Pelodiscus sinensis: one gene and its partners. The protein of the gene in region 1 purifies or fractionates together with the protein of each later gene. This does not show direct contact. Links are inferred from orthologs where the notes say so. Each region holds a gene or a part of one and is shown in the gene's direction. Other genes may lie near its edges.

Region 1 (7,470 bases):
CTTATGCATAGCATTATGCCTTTTGCTGGCCCTATGAAAATGTGTTGCCTGCACTTACTGAAACTTCTTTGACAGCTTCCAGTCTGCACTGAGCTTGCTCCATCCCAGAGTAGCAGGTGCTGAGCAGGATGCTCTCACCACAGGGATGGCTATGCTGTTAGAGCATGTCTATACAGCAGGGCTAAAGCCGAAATAAGCTATGCAACTTGAGCTATGTCAATTGTGTAGCTTAAGTCAAAATAGCTTATTTCCGCACAGCAGGAAGTCTGAGAGAGAGCACTCTTCTTCCAACTTCCCTTACTCCTCATAAAATGAGGGTTACAGAAGCCGGAGTAAGAATTCCTCCAGCTCAATCATTTTGACATTATTGAAATAACTGCTTATAGTGTAGACGTGTACTGTTATTTTGGAATAACGTCAGGTATTCCGAAATGAAGCTACTGTGTAGACATAGCTTTAGATATTAGAACTGAGAGAAGGGGGAACATCTCTCCTGAGGCAGGAGACTAGCAGTAGGAAACACAGATTCATGGGCATCTTGTAACAGACCCTTAATTTCTATATATACTTGCGTCAAAACCTGAAATGGACTGGAAGATGCCTGCTTCTGCATAATGGATTTGGTTTGCTTTTTAAAAGAAAAAACCTACACACACAAACTACACTGAATGAATGTTAAGGTTGAATGTCAAGGATTCAAAAGTTGGATCTGAAAGCTAAACTGGGTCCTTGCCCCTTTCAGGGCATAGAATGGATGATGCTTTCTGTTATACTAATTTCACCCTTATTCAGTGAATAGCCGTATGCCTTATTTACTGCATACCATTCAACCTTTCTCTCAGTACCGTATTTCTTATGGACAGGGCTTGACAAATCACTAAATCTACTTGCCCGTGGTGAGTAGATTTCAACCAGTCGCCCTGTTCACCGGCAGCGTGCGCATGCACAATGCGGGTCTTGCGCATGCGGAGTGCGGGGCTGGCGAGCAGATTTCACTGCTGTTTATCAAGCCCTGCTTATGGACATTCATCCCTGACTCATTGATGGTGTTGTAGTCTCTGCAAAGCAGTACAGTGACAAGGAGGGAGTCAGTTTCAGGTACTATAGTGATCATATAGCAGAGGCAGGCAAAATACAACTCATGGGGTAGATTCAGCTCAACAAGCTGCCAGATCCAGCCCATTGCCCAATGGGAGGCTTGTGCAATCTTCCTGCCTACCCTGCCTCTGCATGTTGCGTAAATTGTCTGACTGCAAGGACCATGAGCTGCTTTGAGCAGTTGGGGACAGGCGTTGTGCACTGCCTTTCCCCCCAGCACAATCTCGCAGTTCCCATTGGCTGGAAACTAATGGGAAGCTGTTTGGGCTGTGTTTGAAGTGCAGACAGTGTGCAAAACACCTGCTGGGACTTGTGGTACTCAGGGACCATGTATTTCTCTGTAGCCAGCAGCTCCAAAAAGCATGCGGGGGCATGAAAGGCAGGGACTTCCCAAGGGACCTGCTGAGCGGGAACCGTCTAGGTAAGTGCCTCCTGGCCAGAGCCTGCATCTGGGACCCCAGCTCTTCCCTCCCACCAACTCTTTGCCCCAAGTCACAACCCTCTGCACATGTGTCCTCTCCCAGGCCCAGCACCCCAAACATCTGCCCCAGCTTACAACCCCCTCCTCTACCCAAAATCCTGCCTGCACCCCAACTGTCTCAAGCTTCCTTCTGCACCCAACCTCCATCCCATACCTCACATCTCCATTAATATCATGGAAGAGTGTGGCCTTTGTCCACTTACCAAATTCTTGAAGTGGCCCACCATCAAAAATTGTCCAACCTTCTCTTACAGGATCAAGTTCAATAGCAATTTTGTGTTTGACTCCAGTGCGACCTTACTGGTGCACACTTGTGCCTGTAGTTAATGCACCTTCACCCTGAAACAGTCAGGCTAAGCAAAATCTCCAGATCCCATGAAGAGGTACAAGCCTCGAGCACTAGGGACATCCACTGTACTGTTGAGTCCTACTGACCTTGAACACATTAAGCATCTGAAAAGAAAATGAAGTCCTGGAATTGTCTATGGAAAATGGCCAACACAAAAGGGGGAGCTGACAGAGTATAATGTGTTCCCTTATTGTTGTATGGACTGTAGTGTTTGCTGGGGTCCTTAGCTTATCTCCAGTGTAGGGAGTGCGTAAACCAACAAACAGCTTCCTTTTTAAGGCCTTGGTCATATACTAATACTGCCCCAGTACCTAAGTAGTAGGGCTACATCTAGCCTGTAGAGTTTTTGCACAAAAACTCACAGAACGTCCACGCTTCTAGTGCATTTTTGTGCAAGAAAATTTACAGTAAATCAGAAGAGGGGTTTTTGTGCAAGTTATTTCTCTTTGTATGAGGAATAAGCCTTTTTGTGTAATAGCTCTTGCGTAAAAAGGTGGGTGTGGATGGGAAATGGGGTTTTTGGTGCAAAAACAGCCTATCAAAAGAAGCACAGGTGCCCTGGTGGCCATTCTGTTAATGGCAATCACAGCTTTCTTGTGAGAGCATCCATGCAGCCTGGACGCCCTCTTGTGCAAAAGCGCATTGCTTTTCCGATGCACTTTTGCAGTGTGGACATGCTCTTGTGCAAGAAGTTTTTTTTTTGCAGAAGACCTCTTCTGCAAAAAGCTTCTTGGGCAAGAAGCCTGCAATCTAGACATAGCCTAGCATTGTGGCATCCAACCAGTTCTAAAGCAGTAGCCACTGTAGTAGCTACTGCTCTAGTGAACTAGCCTTGGCTCTACCAGCCAACTAGCCATATCTGGCTAGTGTATTCGACATCCCTGCACTAATGTGTCTGGTGTTTTGAATTGCAGGTAAGCGGGAGAGTAGACGAGTCACAAGTATCATTAACTCTGAAAGCAAAATCATGGGATTGGTTTTACTTTTCCCCCCGGCTATGCAATGGCTTTGCTCTATTTGCAAACCCATCAATGAACTTCCTGTAACAGGAGCAGAGCTCTTCCAAACTGCACAGCTGCAAGCGTCTGGGGAGTCAGAGTAATATTCTTACCTGTAGTGGAAACATCTGTTTTCCTCAAGACAGGCTTCCACTTTTTGTATCTGCGTGTATTTCTTTGGTTTCAATTTCAGAGTGGCACATAAACTTAAACTCTGCTAGGAAGGCTGTAGGGGTTTCATGCCAGTCCCAAGGCTGGATAAAGGAGGAGGGTTGGTCAGATGAGTGTCGATATGCTGATTGTAAATCAACAATATGAATAAAATCAGGATATTGGCATTTGAGAGGAGTTGTTATAGAAAGATCCTGAGAATAGGATGGCTGCAGAAGGTCAATGATGAATTTATATAGGAAGATACAGCTGAAAGAGTACCTACTGCAGGTTATACAATGGAAATTACAGCTATTCGGGCATATCTGCAGAATGAACAATAAGAGAAAAGTGAAGACCCTGGTATTTGGCATAATGGATGGTCTGAATAGGAGAGGCAGACCCTATAGAGAATAGGTAGATTATATACAGCTGCTCTCTGAGTTGCGAAAGGTCGAGTTACAACCGTTCGTACTTACGACCAAAGCTCCCACGGAGCGGTCTTAAGGCGGTCCCTGAGTTACAAACGCGACCTGCGCTTACGCAGAGCGCGGTCGCATGTAACTCAATGGGGTCCGAGTTACAAACAGCTCGAGTTATGGCCAAGTGTTTGGTCCATAACTTGTTTGTAACTCGGAGAGAAGCTGTAGTAGATTGGTGTGGAGCTAGTCTACAGAAACTAAGCCACTGTACACTGGACAGGGAAAGATGGAAGGAAATAGAGAGGCATCGGACACCAATGGTCACTGAGCCCATGGTGGTTGATGATATGTCAAACTTATCACAGACCATTTGTAAGTGCATCAGTTCCTGCTCAACACTAAGATATCTTGTGTGGATTACAGAGCACTTGAAAGAACCATTCCGTTGAATGCTCTTTACATGAGACCCTCAAAAGTAATAAAGGGAAGTACATAAGGCAAAAGCCATTAATTTGCCAGAGCCATTGTCCTGTAGTAAAACTGTCCTTTCCCCCTGGTGTTTGAATCCATTTTTACCAAGAGCCCCTGTAGAAAGCCAGAATGAACGTTTTCCATCATCGATATTTTCTAGGGTTAATAGATCAAACTCTCTATTTTGCTAACTGTGCAGCTCCCCTTTCCCCTCCATTCCCACGTCATCTTTCTGTGCTGCCTCCCCCCCCCCCCGTGCTCATTCAGCTCCCTCCCCTCCTAGCTCCACTCCCCTCCCTGCGCCCCCATAACCAGCCCAGTGCTCCCGCCCCCGCTGCTCATTCCCCGCCCAATGGCTCATTCCCCGCCTTCCAGCCACAGCTGCCCGCCGCGCTCCAGCGTTGGCACATGCGCACTGCAATTCCCACTCCGAGTCAGAAGGAACAATTCCGCCCCCCCCCTCCCGTGCTCCTGAGGGCGCCAAAGGCCTCCATGGGCGCATGCGCAACGGTTGGAGCGAGTTTGGAGTTGGTACTCGCCGATTCGTTAGAGCAGCTCCGGCGGCCCGGCCGGGCGCTGGCGCCGCCCCCTCCCCCCACCCACAGAGATGGGCCAGGCTCGGTGGCGGCGGTAGCGCTGGCTGCCTCGCGCGGGGTTGAAGGTGCCGCCGGTGCCGCGCGCGCGCGCGCGCGCCCCCAAGATGGCGTGTGTGTTGGAGACGCCGCTCCGCATGAGCGTCCTCTCGGTGAGTGCCCGCCCCGGCCCGGCCCCCGCGGGGCCCGCTCGGCGGCCGGTCCCGCGCCGCGGCGCCCGGGCGGTGTCAGGCGGCGGGGCGAACCCGACGGAGCCCCTGTGGCGAGGCGGCCGGCCGGGGGCCCTGGCTCCCCGTAGCGAGGCTCTGTCCCCGCCGGCGGCGTCAGGCGAGGGCGCTGCCCTGCTGGGCCCGCGCCCGCCGCCGTGGCCTGCGACTGTCAGCGCGGAGACAAGCGGCGCGACCCCCACCCCCCGGGCGTCCTGAGGGGGGCTCGGAGAAACCACAGGCCCACGCTGGGCGGAGAGAGCCGCCACCTCTTCGCCTTCTCGGCCCTCCCAGCCGCGGCGGCGGGCTCCGGGCGAGAGTAGGCACCCCCTTGGGGAGCTGGGCGGGTCCGCCAGGGATGCACTCCGGGGGGAAATGGGAAGGATGATCGTGTGGGTGGGGAAGCACAGACGATACGAGAAATGCAGAAGAGGTGAGAGAGGAAAGGGGGAAGAGATGCAAGGAGATGCATTGGAAAATGGCATGAAAGGGGGGAGAATGTGTCTGGGGGGAGAAATAAAGAAATGAGAACTTCCTGGATAAAGACAGAAAACTTACAGTTTTAATGATCTTCTGCGTGTGCATCTCTATTTTATTATGTCGCTAATAGATGTCCCATAGCTAGATGTGGGGAAAGATGTAAGAGCCAGAAGAGCATTTCAGTATACTAACACTTTGTGTTGGATATCCTCGTTTAGAAAAACTCAGGTCTTTTCGAATTATTCTGAATTCTCTGGTTATTTTTTATATAATATATTCAGTTCTTAAGGTTGTTTTTTTTTCTGATGGAGACATGGCAGCGATACTTATTTGCAGACATGGTAGGGATACTTATTTTCAGGAAGTACTCATTTTACCTTCCTCTACCTGTATTGGGTTGAGTCTACACAGTTTTATTGTAAACCTTGTACCAATCTCTAGGGATGCAGGGCTCCTTGTTTATGAAGACTGCTGTCTGTCCAGGGCTTTTGAAGCTCCCTTGCCCTCTCATCACTGGCAAGAGGGAATTTTGTATTGGTTGCTGAAGACTGTTCTTTGTATCTCTTCTGAGTGCTCTTCTGATGACCATGCTGCTGCTGCTATCTTGCACTCTAGTGAAAAGACAAGTAGTCCTGTAGCACTTTATTTATTTATTTATTTATATATATAGAGAGAGAGTTAGTCTTTATATATGTAAAAACTTCAACAACAATAGACTAGTAGCACCTTAAAGACTAACAAAAAATGTAGATGGTATCATGGGTTTTCATGAGCACACCTCACTTTTTCAGATGACTCCTGTCACCTGGTATCCAGTTGTTGTTTTTCCTGTTACAGACTAATAACTTGGCCACCCCTCTGAAGTTTTTCTATATATGTGGTATCATGAGCTTTTGTGGGCAAAACCCACTTCCTCAGATGAGTGGAGAGAAAAGGGGGGGAAACCTCACAATTTATAACCGAAAAAGAAAGAGGGGAAGAAAAAAATACCTGTCAATTGTAGTGCTGGTGCGAATGAGGCTAATTGAGTGGTCTGGAAGTATCCTCTACTTAGCTTTTGATGTCAGTGGGATGTGAAGAGGATCATCCACTGCGACTATGTTGACATGTTGTGTTAGAATAGACAACATTTTGTCCTCTTTCAACAGCACTGGAGTTTTAGAATGAAGGAGGGGGCGGGAAGAGTCCTAGGATGAAAGCATTTCTTCTTCCTGTTGCTCTGAAGGGAGGAGATAAGACAAAATACCCATGGTAGTTGCACTCTACTGCCACCCACCAATGTGCTGGGAAAAGTGGGAGATTGTGACTAGGAAAAAAAGGTGTTGCATTTCTTACATCTTTTATAATTGGCAGTGTTATTGGTTAAATGGCAAAATAAAAGAATACGTTACCCAGCACTTCTGGGTAACAGTGTATATTACTGAATGCAAATCTCCCATATTTTAAAATGAAATGTGAACTAAAATCGTGCTTGCCAGTCTGAAATGGGTACCTTAAACCTGAAGTATCTATTTCTGTCTTAATTTTGATTATTTAGTTTTTTTAAGCAGCGTGAAGTAAGGATGTTAAGGACTAGTCAACTAGCTCGTTCCCCCTCCCCTTGCTGCCTCTATCAGAGGCGGGAAAGACGGGGTACTTCAAAGCGGCAGTGCAGCATGGAACTGCCTTTTGAAACGCTGCCTCAGCATTTCAAAGCAGCACCACATGGAGCTGACCCCAGGCTCCATGCAGTGCTACCCCTTTGAAACTCCACCACAATGTTTGCGTGGAGCCTAGGGTCAGCTGGGGACTGCCTAGCTGATCCTGGGTTCCAGCGCAGTGTGCAGAGCCCAGGGTCAGCTGGGGAGCCCCCAGCTGATCCCGGGTTCCGGAGAAATGCTGTGCAGAGTCCAGGGTCAGCTGGAGGGTCCCCAGCTGACCTGGGCTCCATGAAGCATTTCAAAGCTGGTGCCTGCGTACAGCCCAGAGTCAGCGGTACCTCCTGCTGGCCCCGGGCTGCATACAGAGTTCCTCATTCCTCCTTTGAAATGTACAAGAGCCCCACCAACATCTCTTGTACATTTCAGAGAAGGAATGTGGAAGTGCCTATCGACTAGTCGATGGAAATTCCATCGTCTGCTTGACAAGTAAATAACTCGATATTTAACATCCTTAGCATGAAGGCATGTGCTTGTTTCAGTAAAATAGTGCAAAGGTTATATGCCAGCTACTACTTGTTTTTG
Region 2 (7,371 bases), on another chromosome or scaffold:
ATTTTGAGTTACGGTGCAGTGTAGACGCACCCAAACTGATCGTAAGTTTTATCAGCTCATAACCTTTTGGGTTGCTTTGCTCTGTCAGTCACTGCAGCTAGCCAACTAAAATCCCCCTTTAAAAAAAAACCCTTGAGCCATCAATAATAAAGGAGCAATAACAGTAAAAAAGCTCTTTCCTTAGCTTGTGATGCTGTGGGTGACAGAGGGGACACAATGCTTCACACCCAAATAACAAAAATTCATTAGTAGCCCTCTTCCTAGCTGAAGTTCTACCACCTTCTGCACTGATACTAGATGTATGGGAGGAGCTGTTGCATTGTATTATTTACTTGGGCAAGTTCAATGGTGCCTGTAAATTCACCATTCCAACCCCTATATCAAACATAACCTTTTACTAGGGGCATCACAGAAACAAAGCTCATAACATCAGCTGATAGAGCCACAGGATCTACCAGTCAGTGGGTAGTATCTTCTGCACATCACCATTATCATGTCCAATGAATTTACTCGGGGCTGCAGCTCTTTTGGCTGGAAGAGGAAGAAAGAATGAATTCTCACTCTGTCTGGCTACGTCTAGGCTGCATTGCTTTTCCAGGATATCTCTGGTATCCCGGAAAAGCTATGCTGTGTCCAAGGAATGTGTCTGCTTTTTCGAAAATGTTTTCGAAAAAACGGATGCGCTCTTTCGCCATCCCTGTAAACCTTATTCTGCGAGGAATAAGGGATATGTCGAAAGAGCACTTTTTTCCAAAATTTGGTGCCATATAGACGTGCCACATTTTGGAATAGCCTCTTTCTAAAGTAAATCGGAGAAAGATATGTTTTTTTTCCAATTTAACATTGCAATGTAGACCTAGCCTCTGTCTCTATATAGTCTCTATATTACAATACATGCATGATAGGGTTGCCAGTTTCGGCTGTTCATATTCCTGGAGATTTCATTGCATGACATAGTCTTTAATTAAAGATTAATTTTTAATTTCTGAAGACACCAGGGCAATTCTGGAGGGCTGGCAACCTTAATGGATGATAGAGTCAGTGTAGCAAGGAAGGTGTTGGACTGGGACTCAAGAATCCTGGGTAAACACAACACTCAAGGGGTGTTATGAGGATAAAACCTATTAATGATTGTGAGGGGGGGTCAAACAGTGATGTGGGTCATAGAAACACCTAGGTAGGTAGTACCAGCATGTCTCTCTAACCTTGGAAAACCTTCTGCAAGCTTAACCCTGCACACTTATGAGATTTACAGATGACTCAAACTGTGAGGAAGTGTGGAAAGCCCAGAATTAACACACGGGCTGATCAAAGAAAAGTACAGAAGTTCAGCAAACAATGCAGTGAAATTCAGCCTTTAATAGATTCCAAGGCCAGAAGGAACTACTGTGATCATCTAGTGTACCCTCCTGTCTATCACCATCCATTGACCTTTTCCAAAATCATTCCTAGGGCAGATCTTTTAGAAAAACATCCAATCTGAATTTAAAAAAAATGTCGGTGATGGAACATCTATCACAGCTCTTGGTCATTTTTTCCCATGACGGTTAATTATTTTCACTGTTCAAAATGCTTTATTTCCAGCCTCAGTTTGCCTAGCTTCAAGTTTTGGATTTGAAATACAGATTTTCAATGGAAGGGAGAAATCTGCAAAACAGTATTGCTGTTACATAGCAAGTTAGTTGTGAATTTGCCCTGGTGATTTGGTCATAAGGAAAAGGCCAATGCTAAGGTGAACTGTATGAAAGAATAACACAGTCAAGAGCAGGGAGGTAAAAAGGTCTTCTCTGAAGTGCTGTGGACCAACCTGTAAGTTGCTTAGGGTAGGGACTGTCCTTCTTGTTTGTACAGTGCCTGCGGTCTTAGTCCATGAGCAGGGATTCTAGGCACTATGGTAAAGCAAATTAGAAATGCTCTTAATATTGAATAACTGGAGGGGATTCAGGGAAGCTAAATAAAAAAATTCTTGGCACTGGAAGGAGTGACTTCTCAACAAAGAAAAACAACAGAATGTGTCCTACTTGGCTAAGTGATGACTAGGGAAGAAGAGGGATTGTTTAGTTTAGTACCAGCAGGTAAAGGAATGAAATTACCTTAAGAAAGGGAAAAATTAAGCTATCACTCTGAATTTGAGATGCATTAGGTTGTGTAATAATCTATCAAGGAGCTGAACAAAATGGACCCTGCCCTAAAGATTTTAGACTAGACAAATGCCATCCTACATTGGCCAAGGGAAGATGGACTTGGTTGTCTAACAAGCCTTTCTATCTCTAATGTTTGTGACACCAGGAGAAATAAATGAGATGGCACACATCAGCCATGGACCAGCAATGTGTGATGACAAATGACCATTAGGGACAAAGCCTTGTTTGTGAAGTTTATTTGTATCCGTTTCTTTGCTGTCCAGTGCCAGGCAGGTCCTCGCTCTATTGCTGGGACTGGTAGCAGACACACCACCACACTGTAACCGGGGGAGGGAGCAGCGCTTGGCCTGCCAGGAACCATTTGGGCTTGGATCTTAGCATGTGTTTGTGAGTCTTCCCTTCTTCTGTCTGTCCCTGTGTAGGGGGACAAGAGTTCAATTCGGTCCTCATCCTGGAAGTGCCTAAATGCCAGAGCACAATATAAACTGGTAGAGAGAGACAGCCCCGTGGGACAGTCGATAAGACCAGACTCAGTGAGCTGCCTGCCTCACCATAATTGTCTGCAACGTTTGCCTGCCTTTTTGTAGCTTGTTTGCAAAGTGACCGTGGCTGCTTGCACATGTCTGTAGTCCAGGTCCGCCTGTCCCTCTGCAATTTGCGCGACAGGTCTGTCTGCACCGTCTGCCCCTCTGTCTGTGTCTACAAGGCGTCTGCCCCCTTTCTGCAACGGGTCTGTCTGTCTGCAACATCTTTCCCCTTTTTACAATCTGCCTGCAACGTCTGCCCCCTTTCTGCAGGGGTCTGTCTGTCTGCAACGTCTGCCCCCTTTTTACAATCTGTCTGCAGAGTCTGCCCCCTTTCTGCAGGGGGTCCATCTGTCTGCAACGTTTGCCCCCTTTTTACAATCTGTCTGCAGAGTCTGCCCCCTTTCTGCAGGGGGTCTGTCTGTCTGCAACGTCTGCCCCCTTTCTGCAGGGGGTCTGTCTGTCTGCAACGTCTGCCCCCTTTCTGCAGGGGGTCCGTCTGTCTGCAACGTCTGCCCCCTTTCTGCAGGGGGTCTGTCTGTCTGCAGAGTCTGCCCCCTTTCTGCAGGGGGTCTGTCTGTCTGCAGAGTCTGCCCCCTTTCTGCAGGGGGTCCGTCTGTCTGCAACGTCTGCCCCCTTTTTACAATCTGTCTGCAGAGTCTGCCCCCTTTCTGCAGGGGGTCTGTCTGTCTGCAACGTCTGCCCCCTTTCTGCAGGGGGTCTGTCTGTCTGCAACATCTGCCCCCTTTCTGCAGGGGGTCTGTCTGACTGCAGAGTCTGCCCCCTTTCTGCAGGGGGTCTGTCCGTCTGTCTGCAGAGTCTGCCCCCTTTCTGCAGGGGGTCCGTCTGTCTGCAGAGTCTGCCCCCTTTCTGCAGGGGGTCTGTCTGTCTGTCTGCAGAGTCTGCCCCCTTTCTGCAGGGGGTCTCTGTCTGCAGAGTCTGCCCCCTTTCTGCAGGGGGTCCGTCTGTCTGCAGAGTCTGCCCCCTTTCTGCAAGGGGTCCGTCTGTCTGCAGAGTCTGCCCCCTTTCTGCAGGGGGTCCGTCTGTCTGCAGAGTCTGCCCCCTTGCTGCAGGGGGTCTCTGTCTGCAGAGTCTGCCCCCTTTCTGCAGGGGGTCTGTCTGTCTGTCTGCAGAGTCTGCCCCCTTGCTGCAGGGGGTCCGTCTGTCTGCAGAGTCTGCCCCCTTTCTGGAGGGGGTCTGTCTGTCTGTCTGCAGAGTCTGCCCCCTTGCTGCAGGGGGTCTGTCTGTCTGTCTGCAGAGTCTGCCCCCTTTCTGCAGGGGGTCTGTCTGTCTGCAGAGTCTGCCCCCTTGCTGCAGGGGGTCTCTGTCTGCAGAGTCTGCCCCCTTGCTGCAGGGGGTCTGTCTGTCTGCAGAGTCTGCCCCCTTTCTGCAGGGGGTCTGTCTGTCTGCAGAGTCTGCCCCCTTGCTGCAGGGGGTCTCTGTCTGCAGAGTCTGCCCCCTTGCTGCAGGGGGTCTGTCTGTCTGCAGAGTCTGCCCCCTTGCTGCAGGGGGTCTCTGACTGCAGAGTCTGCCCCCTTGCTGCGATGAGCCCGACTGTGCCTGCGATCGGACGGTAGGTCGGTCGGTCTGTCTGTCTGTCACGTCTGCCGGGCAGGGACGGACCCGCCAGCCCGCTCCCCTCAGGCTCGGGAGGGCGGCGGCCCCTTTAAGAGCGGCCGCCCCTCCCCCTTCCCCGCTGCTGACAAGATGGCGGCGGCGGCGGCGGCGGCGGGGCCCGCGGGTCCGGCCGGGCCCGAGAGCCGGGTGCTGGGCTACACCCTGCACCGCTGGAGCAGCTTCTCCTCCACCTACCTGCCCGAGTGAGTGACCGCGCCGGGGCCGAGCGCGGCGTCCGCCCCCCGCCTCAGCGCTCCAGGCCGCGGGGGCCCAACCGCCGGGAGGGTCCCGTGACCGCGCCGCGCGCAGCGCCCCCCTCAGCCCCGCCCCTCGCCGCGGGCCTGGGGGGGGGGGCGCTGCCCTCGCGCCGGAGCTGGGGGCAAACCCGCCCCCCCCCCCCTCGGGACGGGACCGCGTCCTCGCGCGCCCGGCCCGTGTCCTGCCCTTGCAGCGCGCCGGGCCCGGCCGCCCGCTCTTCCCGCCCGGGCTCAGGGCGGCGGCGGACGCGGTGTCACTGGGCTGTAGGGGTCGGTCTGCGCCTCACCCGCGCCCCAGTGGCGAGCAAATCTGGCCAGTTCCCCGGGGGGGGGGGTGACAGTTTTTTAAAAAAAAAGCCTAAACTTTGTGAGCCGCATACTCCGTAGTCTGGCCTGGGTTTATTCTTCCTGTGGCCTCCTGGTGCCAGAAAGATGCCGATCCTATCCTGGAACAAAATGCAGGACTATGTAGCACTTTAAAGACTAACAAGATGCTTTATTAGGTGATGAGCTTTCGTGGGCCAGACCCACTTCCTCACATCAATATGGGGAAGAAATTTGGCACAACCATATGCACCAAAAGCCACAGTCCAAAAAATGGTGATAGAAATGTCGCCGTGTTAGTCTGGGGTAGCTGAAGCAAAATAGAGAACTATGGAGCACTTTCAAGACTAACAAGATGGTTTATTAGATGATGAGCTTTCGTGGGCCTATTTTCCTCCACTATTTGATCTGAGGATGTGGGTCTGGCCCACGAAAGCTCATCATCTAATAAACCATCTTGTTAGTCTTTAAAGTGCTCCATAGTCCTGTATTTTAATCCAAAAAATGAACACCTATGAAAAGGACAAATCAAATTTCAGAACCGAAGGGGGATGAGGGGGGAGGTAAATGTTAGTGAGCTAGTGATATTAGAGGTGATAATTGCGGAAGCTATCTTTGTGATGGGTAAGATAATTAATGTCTTTGTTTAGACCGAGGCGTAAAGTGTCGAATTTAAGCATGAATGATAGTTCAGAGGATTCTCTGTCAAGTCTGGTGTTAAAAGGTCTTTGAAGCAGGATGCAGGTTCTATCACTATAGTATCATGAGATTTTGTGCGCCATACCCGCTTCCTCAGATAACCTCCTAGTGGGTTTGGGCCATGACCACTCATGATACTAAATAGACTCGTTTTGGTTAGTCTCTAAGGTGCCACAGGACTACTGGTTGTTTTTGAAGTTGCAGACTAATGGGCGGCCCGGCCCCTCTGACACCTTGGAGCAGTTTAGTTTTGAATTATTGTAGTGTTCAGGTTTTTTTTTTTTTTTAAAGGCCGGAGTGACCATTATAAAGTGTTTGTGTAAGCAGTGGCTAACCACCTGCATGATAGTCTAACTCAGTTAAAAGTTAGTGGCCTGAGTCAGGCAGGTGGTTGGTCACTGCTTACACACAAATGCACTTTAGAGAGAATCAAGTCTTGACTCAGGCTTCTAGTGATGGAGTTGTCATCCTTTCTATTTTCACCGGCAATTGCTTTTACTCATTTTTTTTATGAAGTGTTTTACTTCCAGTTCTCTCTCTTTCAATACAGGCAGTCCCCGAGTTACGCAGTTCCGACTTACGTCGAATCCGCAGTTACGAACGGGGCCCGTCTCCCTGGCCTCCAGCAGACCAGGGAGAGGAAGCAAAGCGGCGGAGCATGCGGGCAGCGGACAGCCCAGACGCGTCTTGGCTGTCCGCTGCATGCATGTTCCACGGCTTTGCTCCCCGTCCCCCTGGTCTACAGACCAGGGAGACGGGGAGCAGAGCAGAGCCGCGGAGCCGGAGGGCAGCAGGACAGCCACGGCGCGTCTGGGCTGTCCCACTGCCCCCGTGCTCCGTGGCTTTGCTCCGGACGCCTGTGGTACAGCAGCTGGGGCGCTGCCGGTTGGTCCCGTAGCGCCGCTCTGGGCGCTACTGGACCAACCCGGCAACACCCCAGCTGCTCTGCCCCAGGTGTCCCCAAGTCGCTGACCAGTAGCTGACTGCCCCGGGCTTCCTGGAATCAGCCGCTGATCAGTTTCAGCAGTAGCTGACTTGGGGATGCCTGGGGTTCTTAAGTTGAATCTGTATGTAAGTCAGAACTGGCGTCCAGATTCAGCCGCTGTTGAAACTGATCAGTTTCAGCAGCGGCTGAATCTGGACGCCAGTTCCGACTTACATACAGATTCAACTTAAGAACAAACCTACAGTCCCTATCTTGTACGTAACCCGGGGACTGCCTGTATATCACTTCTGTTTCCAGCTATTGCATCTGGTTCTGCCTTTGCTGTTCTGGATTCCTTTAGTGTCACAGATCTCTTCTCTGTGTATATATAGTATACTCGTAGGCTGTGAGTGACCAAGTCATCTCCTCATCTTCCCTTTGATAAGCCATATAGACTAAACTCTTTGTAAGGCTTGCTTTCCAAATCTTGAACCATTCTTGCAGGTGTTCTGCTTTTTTAAAAAATTGAGAAGCATCATGATAGGTACTATGTCCAGTTGTAGTATTCCGGTATTGGTCTCCATTGTGCAGTTTTCAAAGGTATGAACTCCCTGATCAGTAGTTCAGTTTATAATGCCCAGCATCCTGTTAACCCTCTTTGAAACAGCATCTCACCAGCTGTTCATGTTTAGATGCTATTTACAAAGCTGATCTAAGTCTTTTACAGAGTCTCTGCTCTTCAGGATGCAGTTTCCTCACCTGTAAATACGATGTGTGACCTTACATTTAACTGATTAATTCATGTTTTAGTGTGCCCAGACTACTTGCGATCTCAATTACTCTGTATTGGTGGTAGGTCCTTACAGTTATGCTTCTAGTTT
Region 3 (7,937 bases), on another chromosome or scaffold:
ATTTAAAGGTTAAAGATTAGACATGCTCCCTCTTGTGTTAAACTAAGAATGCATGCTGTTTTCTGTGACATGATGGTAGCTCAGCCATCTGTTTCCACTGAGCAAACCTCAAACTTTGATTGCTAATTTCTGACAAACATCCACCAATAGTTCTACAGTACAAAGGTTGGCTCACTTTGCACACATTCATAGGATTACTTTATGTTTGAGAAGTACTGTCATTTTGCATACTGTAGAAGATCACCATTAAGCATAAAATAACATACCAAAAGTATGGTGCAATAAAGATTAGTGGACATAATTAAATATATACACATGAAAATAAACTACATACAAAATATATATCAAATATTAAATAACTTTATTTCATACATGGCCTAATAATTTACAACAAAATATCCACCCTTTGCTAATTTTTCCTTTCCATTAGTGTTAGTTAGTTAGTTACAGGATTCACGTAGTCTAGCATAAAAGTTTGCTTAAAGAATCTTTACAAAATGTGTATTCATTTCATAGCTATGTGAAGATAGGAACACAACAGTGCTACGTAAATGTGCATGTGTGCACAAATTATCTACCTGAGGCTCCGATCTTTCAGCTTGACCCACTGAAAGCCTTATACCCGCCTGGAGCCTCAATAAAGTCAATCAATGTCCATTCATGCAGACTCAGTTGCCCTTAGGGCAGCGATTCTCAAATGTGGTGGCCACTAAATCCCCTATCTCTGTCCAGGAGACTAAGGCAAAGAAGCAGCCTCTCTTAGCAGTGCCCACTGGCTCCACAGGTAGTCTTCCACTTCCCCAACCCCTTTGTCCTTCCACTGATTCAGTTGCGGAGCTCTAGGGGCAGGCTCCAAACCAGGGTAGCTGTTTTCAGTAGGGTCAGAATACCAGGTCAAGGCAAAAAGTCGGGTGAGAGTCTGTGGAAAGAATCTCAGGGTAGCAGGGGTAGGATAAGTGGAACCTCAAAAACAGGGGGCTGGGGGAAGAAGCAGGGTGAGAGGTGATGGGAGGTAGCATGGACTAGAGGCACCAAAGTGCAACTATACATTATTTTCAATATTGAATATAAAAATAAACCCTACATAAATAAATCACAATGATTTGGGCTTGTGTGTGTACACATTTGGTTTTCCTAATATTAATTATGTATTTTAGGAATATTTGTCAGACAGTTGTTGTTAGAACTTATGATGCCTTATGACATCTCAATGAGAGCACAGACAAGCACTGTAAATTAGAAGTTTAACTAGCTAACACATTTTAACTAATGTGATTTTCAACAGGACTTTGCACTTAGTGGAGAGAGAATAAATAACTTAAAATCCTGTTGATTGGTTGTGGCCAATCCTAGACTCTATGGTAAATTTAATTACAACCTGTAATGGATGTTTCATCATCAGCTGCGGTGTCTAAAAGAGGTACAAAGTCCTGTTTAAAACATTTGTTATTTATTAGGTAACATTTTAAAATGTAATGTATTTTATAGTCTTTACTGAAGAATATTTGGAAAGTTTTAAAATTATGCAAACTACCCTCTTTTTCTTGTAAAATGTGTTTTTCATTAAATCCAATTCTCTAAAGGTTAACAGAAATAATGCAGCCAAACCTTAACCAGGAAGGGCAGCAAAGTCATGGATGCTTCATATACATGCACTATTAAATCTTGGACCAATATTTAAAAAGGGCTCTAGAGGCGATCCTGGCAATTACAGACCGGTAAGTCTAACTTCAGTACCGGGCAAATTAGTCGAAACAATAGTAAAGAATAAAATTGTGAAGCATATAGAAGAACATAATTTGTTGGACAAAAGTCAGCATGGTTTCTGTAAAGGGAAATCCTGTCTTACTAATCTATTAGAGTTCTTTGAAGGGGTTAACAAACATGCGGACAAAAGGGATCCAGTAGATATACTATACTTAGATTTTCAGAAAGCCTTTGACAAGGTCCCTAACCAAAGGCTCTTGTGTAAATTACATGGCCATGGGATAAGAGGGAAGGTCCTTTCTTGGATTGAGAACTGGTTAAAAAGACAGGAAACAAAGGGTAGGAATAAATGGTAAATTTTCAGATTGGAGAGGGGTAACTAGTGGTGTACCCCAAGGGTCAGTCCTGGGCCCAACCTTTTCAAATTATTCATAAATGATCTGGAGAAAGGGTAAACAGCGAGGTAGTAAAGTTTGCGGATGGTACCAAACTGTTTAGGATAGTCAAGACAGAAGCAGACTGTGAGGGACTCCAAAAAGATCTCACCAAACTGAGTGATTGGGCAACAAAATGGCAAATTAAATGTAATGTGGATAAGTGTAAAGTAATGCACATCGGGAAAAATAACCCCAACTATACGTACAGTATGATGGGGGCTAATTTGGCTACCACAAATCAGGAAAGAGATCTTGGAGTTATCGTGGACAGTTCTCTGAAAACTTCTACGCAGTGTGCAGCGGCAGTCAAAAAGGCAAATAGGATGTTAGGAATTATTAAAAAAGGGATAGAAAATAAGACCCAGAATATCTTACTGCCCCTGTATAAAACTATGGTACACCCACATCTTGAATACTGTGTACAGATGTGGTCTCCTCACCTCAAAAAAGATATTTTGGTCTTGGAAAGGGTTCAGAAAAGGGCAACTAAAATGATTAGGGGTTTGGAACGGGTCCCATATGAGGAGAGGTTAAAGCGACTGGGACTTTTCAGTTTAGAAAAGAGGAGACTGAGGGGGGATATGATAGAGGTATATAAAATCATGAGTGGCGTGCAGAGGGCCGATAAAGAAAAGTTATTTATTAGTTCCCTAAATAGAAGAACTAGAGGACACCAAATGAAATTAATGGGGAGCAGGTTTAAAACTAATAAAAGAAAGTCCTTCTTCACACAGCGTGTAGTCAACCTGTGGAACTCCTTGCCAGAGGAGGCTGTGAAGGCTGGGACTATAATAGAGTTTAAAGAGAAGCTAGATAATTTCATGGTGGTTAGGTCCATAAAAGGCTATTAGCCAGGGGATAAAATGGTGTCCTTGGCCTCTGTTTGTCAGAGGCTGGAGAGGGATGGCAGGAGACAAATCGCTTGATCATTGTCTTCGGTCCACCCTCTCTAGGGCACCTGGTGCTGGCCACTGTCAGTAGACAGGATACTGGGCTAGATAGACCTTTGGTCTGACCCAGTACAGCCATTCTTATGTTCTTATGACCACCATGTTAATTTCTTAAAACATACATGATCATAGACCACCTCCTCTTGCACCACTAAAGCCAAGAAGAGTTTTGACATAGACTTCACTGGAGTTAAAAAAAACCCCACCACACCATCTAATAAGAACTTTTCCTTCATATCCAATTTTTGAATCAGGGGTTGATTTTTTTTTCATTCTGCAGGGCAACTCCTCAGAGGTAAATTTTTCCCAAGAAGCATCACCCACCCTAGTATACTAAAGCGCTCAGAAACCAGTGGTGAATGTTATGTAGGATCTTAAAGAAAATAGTCTCAAAATGTTTCATTCTGCAGACCATAAAGAACGTTTCTGTTAATACACACAGCATCACCAAAGAACAACTGGATCAGGTTCTGATTCTGTAGAAACTCCCATACGTCTGTCTACTCCTGCTGGAAATTAACTTCTAGGAGCCATGAGAAAGAGTACAAGTTCCACCCTCTCTTACATGGTAACAGACTAGGGTTGCCATTTCTTCAGGATAGTTCTGGAATCCACAGGAATAAAAGAGTAATATTTAACCTTTTTTCTTTCCACTCTCCCACCTTTTTCCTGTTATATATTTTGAGGGTCCCCTTTTTCTCCCCTCGAGCTCATCTCAGAAAGTGGGTTATGCCTACAACATCTCACAATTAGAACATAGAAGGTGCCACAGGACGACTCGTTTTTAAAGTTACAGACTAATAAGGCTACCACTCTGACATTAATCTTCAAGGAAGTCTAACCAAACCTGGCAACCCTCTGAACAAGCAGGTGCCCAGTGGGGGCGGGGACAGAGAACTATTTACTGGCTAAGCTGGCAGAAGCCACATTTCCAATCACAGCTGGGGCAGTGGGAGGGCGGCAGGTGCTTCCTCTCCCCGCGGGGTGAGTGCTGCAGGCGCAGCTCGGACGGGTGCGCCTCTCCCTGCCGAGACTCTCCGCGGGCGGCGCACAAGCCGCAGCGAGGCCACCGACGGAAGGCTCCCGCTGAAGGGAGCTGGCTAGCGCCCGCCCACGTCTGGAGCCCGGAGAAGCGCGAGCGACGCCCCCCTGATGTTGTCTCCGCTGGTCAAGATGGGGGCGAATCAGGCCTCCTGAGGGAGCTTCTCTTCCCGCCCTGTGCTCAGGCACCAAGCGCGGCAGCTACCTCCGGCCCAGCCCGCTGGGCAAACACCAGCCAACGGCCGTGGCTACCCCGCCGAGCGCAGCGGTGCCCTAGCCGAGGACTCCCTCTATCTCCGCTATTTAAAGCTCTTCCCGCCGCTTCCGCCTCACTCGCGCTTCTCCCTACGGAACTTACTAGGCACCCCCCCCCGGCTACCCACACACTAACTCGTGCCACAAACCAACCGTGTCAACACAGCCCGCCCTCCACAGCGCCGCTCGCCTCCCATTCGCTCCTCGCTTTGTTCGTCTCCGTGTCTGCCGCGCGCATTGGCTCCTTTGCCTGCCAATAAACCTGCACAGCGCTGTTTCCCCGCCCTCCCGGACACCTTTTGGGGTCGTTAAAACCGCCTCTTTACTTCGCCAGAAAAACGAACTTTTACGTGCCACCTAAATAGAAAGGAAATGCTGATTGGGCCGAATGAAAATCTGCATAGCCCGATTGGAAAATACAAGTGTCAATCGTAGATATAATCCCCGCCTACGAGAATTCGTTGCTCTTCTTGATTTGTCGCTGTGGCTAGTCGCCCAGGCTCACGTATCCTCCAATCAAACACGCATTCACAAGTTAGAGGGCGGGGCAAACCCTATGAAGGGAGAGATGCGAAAGGAATGCAACGATTGGATGAATACTCTCTCCCCTCTCTTCCAGCGCCACTGTTCCGTGGCTTGTACCACCCGGTTGTGAGAGGGGGAGAGGTAATCTGTTGGTTCAGCCCGTCTCCAGCAGGGACGACGGGGGTGGGGGAAAGGAAGGAGGAGGAAGTCCTTCATTGCCCACCATGCAATGCGCGCTGTAGGTAGCTCTTTTGGGCTCTGCGCTGGGAGGAGGGGGGAGGAGGAGGTTGGTGCCCAATCCAAGATGGCGGTGCAGGAATCAGCTGCTCAGCTCTCAATGACTTTGAAGGTGCAGGAATATCCCACTCTCAAGGTGGGTGCCAGGCATCCTGGGGACCTGTGGGAGGCGAGGGCCAGGTACTGATTGAGCGAGGATATTAATGCCCCCGCAGGGCAGGGCTAAAAGGGGATGGGGGCTTGGCAAATTGAGGTCCCCACCCCCTTCATTATAACCCCCCCCCCCGGTCCCAAGGCGTGTAATGTGGGGAGACCCCAATTCACCGGACCCCTTTGTGCCTCTTCCCATTTGCCTTGAGCTGTACCGGGAAGGGTAATTTTCTTTCTTTCCATGTTGAGGAACGTGCCTGGAATATGAGCCCCCTCTCTCCTGGGCATTTCCAGAGCTTGAAGATGTAGGTGGGGTGGAGTCCCCTTGAGCAAAGACAGGAATGACAGCGATTGATGGGGTGGGAGGGCTGACTCCAGGGAGAACGAAAGAGCTGAATATGCCAGGGGTAAAATGTGACTGAAGGGTGCTGTGTGGGGAGTGGTGTGACGGGGACAGACTGGAGGGTGCAGAGCAATTAAATGATTTAAGTGTGGTGAGAGTATTGATTATTTAGAATGAATGTTTGACAGTTAAAGCTACGTATCATTGTTAAAAGATGAATGGGGGGTTAATATGATTCCTTGACATCTTGTTTTCTCCAAAGATAGAGATGAACTAGAAAGTGTTGGGGGGTTAAAATGATTAAAGGGATTGGAGCTCTTATGAGGAGGAAAGGGTTAAATATAGGTTGGCTGGATACTACAAAAGAGTTGGGGTGGCTGATGTAGTAACTGAGTATTATGGGAAGGGTGTTAACTCACCAGGTGTGAGGTGAATTGCATAGGTTGGTTCATTGTGACATAGTCGAACATCATAAAATGAGCAAAGAAAAATCTAGATTGAATATTAAGGGTAAATATTGCTGACAATAAGAGCTGTTGAACTGGGGAATAGTCTCCCAGAGGAAGTGGTGGAACATTGATAATCTAGAATACTCCTTTTATATATATGCTAGATCAACCAATTCAGCTCCAATTGATTTTACTGTAGGGAACTAACTCTGCACTGGCTAAGTGGGAGTGAGGTGAGATGAGCTGGACTGTTTAATAGTCCCTTTGTATCCCTTGTATCTGATTTAACTAGTTTTTTTTTCATATAGTATATATCAAAATTCTATACTTTTAAAACAATGAGTAATCCTATGGCACGTTTCAGACTAACAAATATATAGAATCATGAGCTTTTATAAACTTTTGTGCTTCAATCATATTTCACTTTCATGTAGAGTGTTATGTGCTTTTGTTTGTTTTTATAGGTTTCTTCCTGTGTTCTTCTCATCTGTTTGTTGCTCTTGCTTTCCTCATTCTAGCCTGCTCCCTTATTTCCCTTTACTCTTGGGATTGTCTTGACTCTCATGTTATATCTGAAGATGTTTTCCCGGTCATCCTGAAGTACTTTAGGCTTGACAATATCTGAGTTAAATTTAAAATTCCCTTAGAAAGGTACTTTCCACATTCAGCTACAATGTTAAGAAATTCATAGACAAAGAAACGTGTATTTATTGACAAACATTGTCTAAATAAATCTCATATTCTTCAATATGTATATAAAAGCAATGGTTTGCTTTGTCTCTTTTTATACCACTTAAGTCTATCTACTAGGTGTCACTCATTTGAAGATAGCAGTCATTTTGGACTAGTTCTAAGATATTTTTCAAGTATACTATTTACACTTGATGAGGGATTTTTGCAGCATTTTAATGAGACTGAAATATTCCTTGTATGACCATGAGACATTGTGAGAAAACAGGCTTGTATTAACCATGTTAAATGTCATAAGGTGATGTTTAGATATATGTACACTTCTTTTTGTCTCTCCCCAAGCTCCTGAGTGCTCCAGAAGTTTCCTTTCTGGTTAATATTAGTTATTACAAAAAAATCACAAAACAGTCACTATTCAGTTACCACTTGCATTTATCCCTTTAAATGTTCTTGACTGTGGAGATATCAAACCATCCTCCATGCTAGGGAAATAATTTTTTGGTAGAGGTGAAAAAGACAGAGTGAATTTTCATCTCTAGTTGGTTCTTTAGATCTTAAAACAGCCTTTAAAACACTTGAATATTAATTTACTTCATTGTGGCAGCAACTGTAATATTTTGCTACAGATAGGTGGATATTGACAATGTTCTCTAATTGATGCAAGTAAACTATAAAGGAGGTCATAATTACATTGATATCCTTCCTTGAACTTGCTCGTGCCCAAGTCACTAGATAATAGTAACTGTGTAAGCGCTCTACATTACAACATGTTCCATAAGAGTGCCTTTCGTAAGAAGAAGGAATGCTTAAGACTCTTTCTAAGGAAAATCCCTCTTATTGCTGAATTGTGGTAATTTTTGGTGCATCACCATTCTGCTTCAGCAATTCTGCATGGTATTATTTTTCAAGAGAAAGTAAAGTGACTTACTCATTTGAATCTGCAGGAGTAATTTAAATGTACAGAACATGGCTACTCAACATGCGGTCCGCGAGCGGAATATGGTGCACAGCCCATTTGTGTGCGGTCCGCGGTGTGGTATTTATGTGGGGCCCGCGGGTGGGAGCCAAAACAAAAAAGTAGTCAATATAATGGTCTTCTGTTGATATGTGTTTTAGTAGTTAAATTCCTGCACTGTCATTGCTCATTAAAAGT
Region 4 (6,950 bases), on another chromosome or scaffold:
ATATCCTGAACATTCATCTACCTGAATTGAGGCCCAATCAGCCTAAACAGGAGAGGAATAAGTCAAAGAACTCTTAAAAATCCTCTATTGCCATGAACTATTCAGTATTCTCTTGTCACAGCACCAGTGCTGACTCATTCAATTTATCATCCAATACAGAAAATAAACATAGGCAAAAAATTCAAGCAAAGCAATCTGCAGTTACTGTCATTACAGCAGAAGCCCAAGAAGATTGACCACTTTGACAGTGCAGTGGAAAAAAACCAACTGAAAATAAAAAGGATGAATTAAATACAGTAAATAGAACCAGACATAATGGCCACATCTAGATTGCATCCCTTTTTCGTAAAAGGGGTGCAAATTAGACATATCGCAATTGCTAATGAAGCGGGGATTTAAATCTCCCCCGCTTCATTAGCATAAAAATGGCAGCCGCTTTTTTTCAGCACGGAGCTTTGCTGGAAAAAAGCGCCAGTCTAGATGCGGATCTTTCGGAAAATAAAGCCTTTTCTGAAAGATCCCTTATCCCTTATTTTAAGAGGGATAAGAGATCTTTCGGAAAAGGCTTTATTTTCCGAAAGATCCGCGTCTAGACTGGCACTTTTTTCAGGCAAAGCACCGTGCCTAAAAAAAGCGGCTGCCATTTTTATGCTAATGAAGCGGGGGAGATTTAAATCCCTGCTTCATTAGCAATTGCGATATGTCTAATTTGCATCCCTTTTATGAAAAAGGGATGCAATCTAGACGTAGCCAATAGGAATACTGCATTGCTGGAACTAAGAATTTTGCTCCAGGTTCCTTAGCAAATATTTTCATGCCTATGGCTAACTGAATGTGAAGTATTTAGTGAAGACAGAATAAATTAATACTAAAGCATAACTTGAGACTCCTGTGATAAAATTTAGCTACACTGCCACAGAGGATGGAGACTCATGAGCAATGCCTCAGTTTCCCCACCAGAAAAGTAGGATTATTAATATTCTCTGTGAACTCCAAGTAACTGATGTTAAAGGAATAGGATGAAGTTTTCAAGCAGGGTTTGAAAAGTTCACCAGCTATCAACTTGTCAAAACATTAAACTCACTAGACAAATCCAAAATAAAACAGGGGGGTAACACACTATTCAAACTAATAACCCAAGGAAAAGACAGCTACCATTCCTCCAACTTGCTGGAAAGGGAAAGGTGCTGGGATTCCTACCATGGTACTGTCCCTTCACCATAATCAAGAGCACCATCTTTCATGGAAGCCTCTAGAGGTCTAACAGTTTTGAAACCTCTCTATACACTGCCTCCATAAAAGAAGCATTTTCTACCAGCCCGTGACCTTGAAGTTGTTCTATTAATCTAGTCTCATCCTTCCTTCAGACTCTTGAATTTCCCTCTTTAGTAATTTCTTTTGCTATTGCTCAGTGTTTTTCCGAACAGCAGCAGGGTCAAAGCAACATAGTTCTTGTCAGTTCGACCCCTACATACAGGATTCTGAATAGCAACATAAAAGCTACTTAAGTTCTGGTCTCATTTAAACTGCTGTTGTTTGAAAAAGCTCTGAGCATGGGAACCAATTGCAGATTCACATAGCTAGCAGCAGTAAAGTGAAATGAATTACATAGCACCCTACCAAGGAATGTGACGAGATGGAAATAAGATTGTGGAAGCTTGAGTAGACAACATAGGTCAGGGGTCCCCAACGTGGTGCCCGTGGGCGCCATGGCGCCCGCCGGGGGATTTCTGTGCGCCCGCTGAAACATCTGGGCTGGCCCCACCCCCAGCGCGCGGCACATGCATGGTGCTGGCTCCAGGCGCGGGACGCATGGGCGGCCCCTCCCCATGGCGCGCGGCACATGCGCAGGGCCGGCCCGGGGCGCATGGGCAGCCCCAGCCCCGGCCCCAGGGCACATGTGCAGTGCCGGCCTGGGGCGCGTGGCTCGTGGGCAGTCCCGGGCGCGCGGCACATGCGCAGTGCCAACCCTGGGCACATGGCTCGTGGGTGGCCCCGCCCCCGGGTGCGCGGCGCAGGCGTGGCCCCACCCCCGTGTGCCCGGCACGTGAGTGGCTCTGTCCCCAGGCACCTGGCAGCCACGCAACGTTGGGGACCACTGATGTAGGTGGTGTTAGGGTTGGATAGGGAAGTGAAGTGGTGGGCGATGAAGATCCTTTAACACAGTGGTCACCAACCAGTAGATTTTGATAGTCTGGTAGAGCTTAGCACGTCTGACAGGTGATCCTGACTGGTTTGGCCAAGAGGTTATCAAGCACAGCACTTCAGCGCCTCCCACCCCCAATTGCTGCACATCTCCTCCCCTTTGCCTTGGAGTTGCCTCCCCCTCCAGGAGCCTCCTGCTTGTTGTGCAGAGGAGGTAAGAGAGAGGAGGGGTGCTAAGGTCAGAATGCTCCCCTGCCCTCCATTCTATCTCCACAGAATGGAAGGGGGGGGGCACACAACAGGGTTTGGGATAGAGAGAGTTTGCTGGCTGCTTTTGGGAGTGGTGCAGGGCCAAGACAGGAATGAGCCTGCCTTAGCCCCATGGTACCACCACCCAGGAGCCACCTGAGGTAAGCACTGTACACCTGAAGCCAGCTCCAAACCCTTGCCCCAGTCATGTACCCCCACCTACATCCCAAGCCCTTACCCTAGGCGTGAGCCCCCTAGACAGAAATTCCCTTATAGAGCCTATACCCTGAACCTCCCCTCCTGCAACCCAACACCCTACCACACATTGGCTACGTCTAGACTGGCATAATTTTCCGCAAATGCTTTTAACGGAAAAGCACTTTTTGTGGAAAAGCGTCCATGCTAATCTAGACGCACTTTTCTGCAAAAAAAAAGCCCCGATAGCCCCGATCGCAAAAATGGCTTTTTTTGCGCAAAACAAATCTGAGCTGTCTACACTGGCCCTTTTGCACAAAAGCTTTGCGCAAAAGGGACTTTTGCCTGAATGGGAGCAGCATAGTATTTCTGCAAGAAGCACTGATTTCAGACAGTAGGAAGTCAGTGTTCTTGCGGAAATTCAAGCAGCCAGTGTAGACAACCGGCAAGTTTTTCCGCAAAAGCAGCTGATTTTGCGGAAAAACTTGCCAGTCTAGACGCAGCCATTTAGTTCAGAGCCCTTCTCGCACTCTAAATCCCTTAGCCCAAGACCAGAGCCTGTGCCCCAACCCTCTGCCCTGCCTGGTGAAAAGGAGGGAGAATGGAGGAGGCAAGGAGGACTGAGTGAACTGAGGCAGAGCCTTGGCAAAGAGGCATAAAAGAAGTGGGGCAGGGTACTTGGGCTGGAGGTAGATTCTGGATTGCATTTAAATTTTAAAAAGCCATCTTGCACTTATAAAAGTTGGCGACCCCCCCCCCTGCTCTCACAGGTCTTGTCTCCCATTAGCGGATGCAATGCGGCACAATCCTGACTCCAGAAACAAAATACAGGACTATGTAGCACTTGAAAGACTAACAAGATGGTTTATTAGGTGATGAGCTTTCGTGGGCCAGACCCCACGAACGCTCACCACCTAATAAACCATCCTGTTAGTCCTGTATTTTGTTTCAGCTACACCAGACTAACACGGCTACATTTCTATCACCCGAGTCCAGAAGGCACAGCTGCTGGACTCCTTGACTGCCTCTGCCTGAGCCAATCCCCTAGAGATCAGGGGTTTTCCCCCATGGCAAGCTACAATGCCCAGGAGAGCCGCAAGCACCGTCACCCCGACCCCTTCTGCTTGCAGCTGGGACTGCACAGGTACCACCGGAGGCGCCCCTGGCACAGCGCGCCCCGCGCAGGATCGCTCCCTGGAAGGCTCCTCGAGGTCACTAGTGTCCAGCGCTACGCCGCGCCCCTAAGGGGCGCTGGAGTATTTATACGTGCACGTGACCACCACCACCTCCTCAGGCCCCGCCCCAGCCTCGCGCCCTGAGCTTCCCTAAGAGCGGCCGCAAAGCAGCCAGCGCGTCTGCCTAAGGAGCTACCCGGAACACAGCGCAGCCGAACCCTGCCCCCGCCCAAAGACCCAAGGTGGCTGTGGCACTGCCTGAAAAAAAAAAATTCCGCCCAGGACTCCGATCGCTGCGCCCGCACTAAGCCAAGCTCCGGCTATCAGTATGGGTCGTGGAGTAACAAACCACCATAGCACCCCAGCTGTTTGAAACAGAGCCCTTCTGTGGACCCCGACTGTCTACTGTGCCGCCTGAACAACAACTGCCTAAGGACCCCGGGTGCCCGCTCCGGTGCCCACACAGCCAGGGAGCCCGCTGCCGCTGAGGACCCCGGCTGCCTTGGCGCTGCCTGCCCAGCCGCTGGTAGAAGTTCGAAACAAAATCCGGCCCGGCGGCGGCAGGCAGGCCCGGCCGGAGGAGCGGCAGCCCCGCGGCGCTCGCCATGGATCAGTGCGTGACGGTGGAGCGGGAGCTGGAGAAGGTGCTGCAGAAGTTCGCGGGCTACGGGCAGCTCTGCGAGCGGAGCCTGGAGGAGCTGATCCAGTACGCGGGGGGGCTGCGCCGCGAGATCCTGCAGAGCGAGAGTACGTGCGGCGCGCCGGGCCCGCCAGGGAGCCCGATCCCGGGTCCCCTCGCCCCCCCCCCATGGGCCCCCCTCCATCCCGGGTCCCCTCGCCCCCCCCCCATGGGCCCCCCTCCATCCCGGGTCCCCTCGCCCCCCCCCCATGGGCCCCCCTCCATCCCGGGTCCCCTCGCCCCCCCCCGTGCTCCCCCCTCCATCCCGGGTCCCCTCGCCCCCCCCCGTGCTCCCCCCTCCATCCCGGGTCCCCTCGCCCCCCCCCGTGCTCCCCCCTCCATCCCGGGTCCCCTCGCCCCCCCCCATGCTTCCCCCTCCATCCCGGGTCCCCTCGCCCCCCCCCCATGCTCCCCCGTCCATCCCGGGTCCCCTCGCCCCCCCCATGCTTCCCTCTCCATCCCGGGTCCCCTCGCCCCCCCCCATGCTCCCCCGTCCATCCCGGGTCCCCTCGCCCCCCCCCATGCTCCCCCCTCCATCCCGGGTCCCCTCGCCCCCCACAGGTTCCCCGATCCCTGGTCCCCGCGCCGCTAGGTTCTTCCGGGGCCCCATGGTCTCCCCCCCATGCTCCTCCCCCATCTTGGGGCCCCATGGTCCTCCCCATGTCCCCATCTCCATGCCAGGGCCCCTCGCCCCCCATGCTCTCCTCTCCATCCCGGGTCCTCTCGCCCCCCATGTTACCCCCGGTCCCGTCGCCCCCCACAGGTTCCCGATCCCTGGTCCCCGCGCCCCTAGATTCTTCCGAGGCCCCATGGTCCCCCCCCATGCTCCTCCTCCATCCCGGGGCCCCTTGGTCCCCCCCATTCTCCTCCTCCGTCCCGGGGCCCCTCTCCCCCCCATGTTACCCCCGGTCCCGGATCCCTCTGCCCTCCAGGTACTCACAGCCCCGGGGCCTCTCCCCACAGGTTCCCCGATCCCTGGTCCCCGTGCCCCCAGGTTCTTCTGGGGCCCCTCGGTCCCCCCATGCTCCCCTCCATCCCGGGGCCCTTCGCCCTCCCCCCAGGTTCCTCCGATTTCCTGTCCCCTTGCTCTGCCCCCCCATGTTCCTCCTCCATCCCGGATCCCCCCCCCCACCATGCACTCTCAATCCCGGGTCCCCTCAGCATCCCCATCCTGGGTCCCCTCCCCCCATCCTGGTTCTCAGTTCTCAGCCCTCTTTCCCTTCCGTCCGAGCTTCTGCCCCCAGTTTTCATTTGCACCCCCTCTCCTAAATCCTGTCTGCATGACTTCCATTTGTCCTCACTGATCCCAGTTTCTCAGGCACCTGCCCGAACGAGCCCCCCTAACCCCATCTCAGCTCTTTGGGCCCCTTCCCTTTGCTCCCAGCTGTATCTGCAATAAGCCTTGGAGCTCCATGTTGTCTGTCCCCTCAGGAGGCTCACATCCCCTCTTTCCACAGAGACTCAGAGTCCCTGGGTCCCCTCCCCCCAGATGCTCCAATCTGGCTTCTTAGGCCCCCCTTTTCCCAGTCTCAGCAGCCTCTTTCACCATCATTCCTACCACCATCACCCCTTCCCTGTTTGGAACAACTCCTCTGAGCTGCCATGTCTTCCTTCTCCTTCCTGGTCCCATCACCCTGCTGCTGTTCTCTGTGATTTTTAAACACTCAAGGAAAATAAAATAGTGATTTCATAAACAGAGTGTAAAAGGGGGAAAATTCCTAACCAGTCATAACATAGAAAAGTTAAAGTAAACCGTCTTTGGACAAACTTCCTTTTTTTCATTGTCTTCCTTTCTTGCCTATACAATTTTTTGTAAAGGGGAGCAAGCCTCTGTTTACAGTTTCTTAGGTGGCATTAGGTGGTATTAAATGCTCTTGTAACTTGAGTCATAACACTGTAGTGAAGAAGTTACAAGCGTGTTTAAATTTAGACCATGGCAACACCTTACAGTTAACAGCATGCTAACCAGAGTATTTGAGCACCGTTGTTACTGTTAGTAGTGTGGGGTCCTAACAGGGCTTTCCTGACTTGCGGAGACAAGGTGGATGAGGTAATATCTTTTATTAGACCAATTTCTGCATACTGCTTGGACCGGGCAATTTTTCTGTTTCCAAGATCAGTTAAAATAATCACTGTGCTCCTTCGGGGAAACTGCGCACATCTCTGCTATGCTCTGAACGTAAACCATTTTGTTGCGACCATGGTTCTAATGATAGCATGCCATAGACAGATTCTTATTTGGGTGATGGAGGAGGCTAGCACTTCTGGTTGTGGGTGTTGAATTGGGACGAAGATTGGTCCATTTCGAACATGCCTGTTTATTCGTTAATGAATACAAGTGTTTACTCTTGGTCAGTGGGTTCTGCTGTGCCATCTTTATATTGGTCAATATGTTTATATCTTTATTCCTTTGCATTGAGTAATAATGGAATTAGTCACTGCTATTGAAAGCAGTCTTAACAGCCCGACAAGATGACGTAAACAACAGGTTTGTTGGATTTTCTGGG

The links.
Region 2: the proteins of ARMC8 (region 1) and MKLN1 purify together in Homo sapiens (affinity purification with mass spectrometry; 4 studies listed by BioGRID and IntAct, with this or other methods). This does not show direct contact. The link is inferred for Pelodiscus sinensis from reciprocal best matches to the Homo sapiens genes ARMC8 and MKLN1.
Region 3: the proteins of ARMC8 (region 1) and MAEA purify together in Homo sapiens (affinity purification with mass spectrometry; 5 studies listed by BioGRID and IntAct, with this or other methods). This does not show direct contact. The link is inferred for Pelodiscus sinensis from reciprocal best matches to the Homo sapiens genes ARMC8 and MAEA.
Region 4: the proteins of ARMC8 (region 1) and RMND5A purify together in Homo sapiens (affinity purification with mass spectrometry; 5 studies listed by BioGRID and IntAct, counting the BioPlex papers as one, with this or other methods). This does not show direct contact. The link is inferred for Pelodiscus sinensis from reciprocal best matches to the Homo sapiens genes ARMC8 and RMND5A.

Annotation. Positions count from the first base shown.
Region 1 is NC_134720.1:4,087,121-4,094,590, reverse strand, and holds the start of ARMC8 (armadillo repeat-containing protein 8), read left to right. Parts: upstream 1-4,455; 5' UTR 4,456-4,669; coding exon 4,670-4,714; intron 4,715-5,031; exon of another isoform or gene 5,032-5,087; intron 5,088-7,470. UniProt on the Homo sapiens protein: Component of the CTLH E3 ubiquitin-protein ligase complex that selectively accepts ubiquitin from UBE2H and mediates ubiquitination and subsequent proteasomal degradation of the transcription factor HBP1.
Region 2 is NC_134711.1:7,867,769-7,875,139, reverse strand, and holds the start of MKLN1 (muskelin), read left to right. Parts: upstream 1-4,352; 5' UTR 4,353-4,375; coding exon 4,376-4,488; intron 4,489-7,371. UniProt on the Homo sapiens protein: Component of the CTLH E3 ubiquitin-protein ligase complex that selectively accepts ubiquitin from UBE2H and mediates ubiquitination and subsequent proteasomal degradation of the transcription factor HBP1.
Region 3 is NC_134715.1:120,927,937-120,935,873, reverse strand, and holds the start of MAEA (E3 ubiquitin-protein transferase MAEA), read left to right. Parts: upstream 1-4,922; 5' UTR 4,923-4,969; coding exon 4,970-5,056; exon of another isoform or gene 5,057-5,144; coding exon of another isoform or gene 5,145-5,153; exon of another isoform or gene 5,154-5,219; coding exon of another isoform or gene 5,220-5,288; intron 5,289-6,179; exon of another isoform or gene 6,180-6,327; intron 6,328-7,937.
Region 4 is NC_134715.1:122,882,987-122,889,936, forward strand, and holds the start of RMND5A (E3 ubiquitin-protein transferase RMND5A), read left to right. Parts: upstream 1-3,945; 5' UTR 3,946-4,369; coding exon 4,370-4,511; intron 4,512-6,950.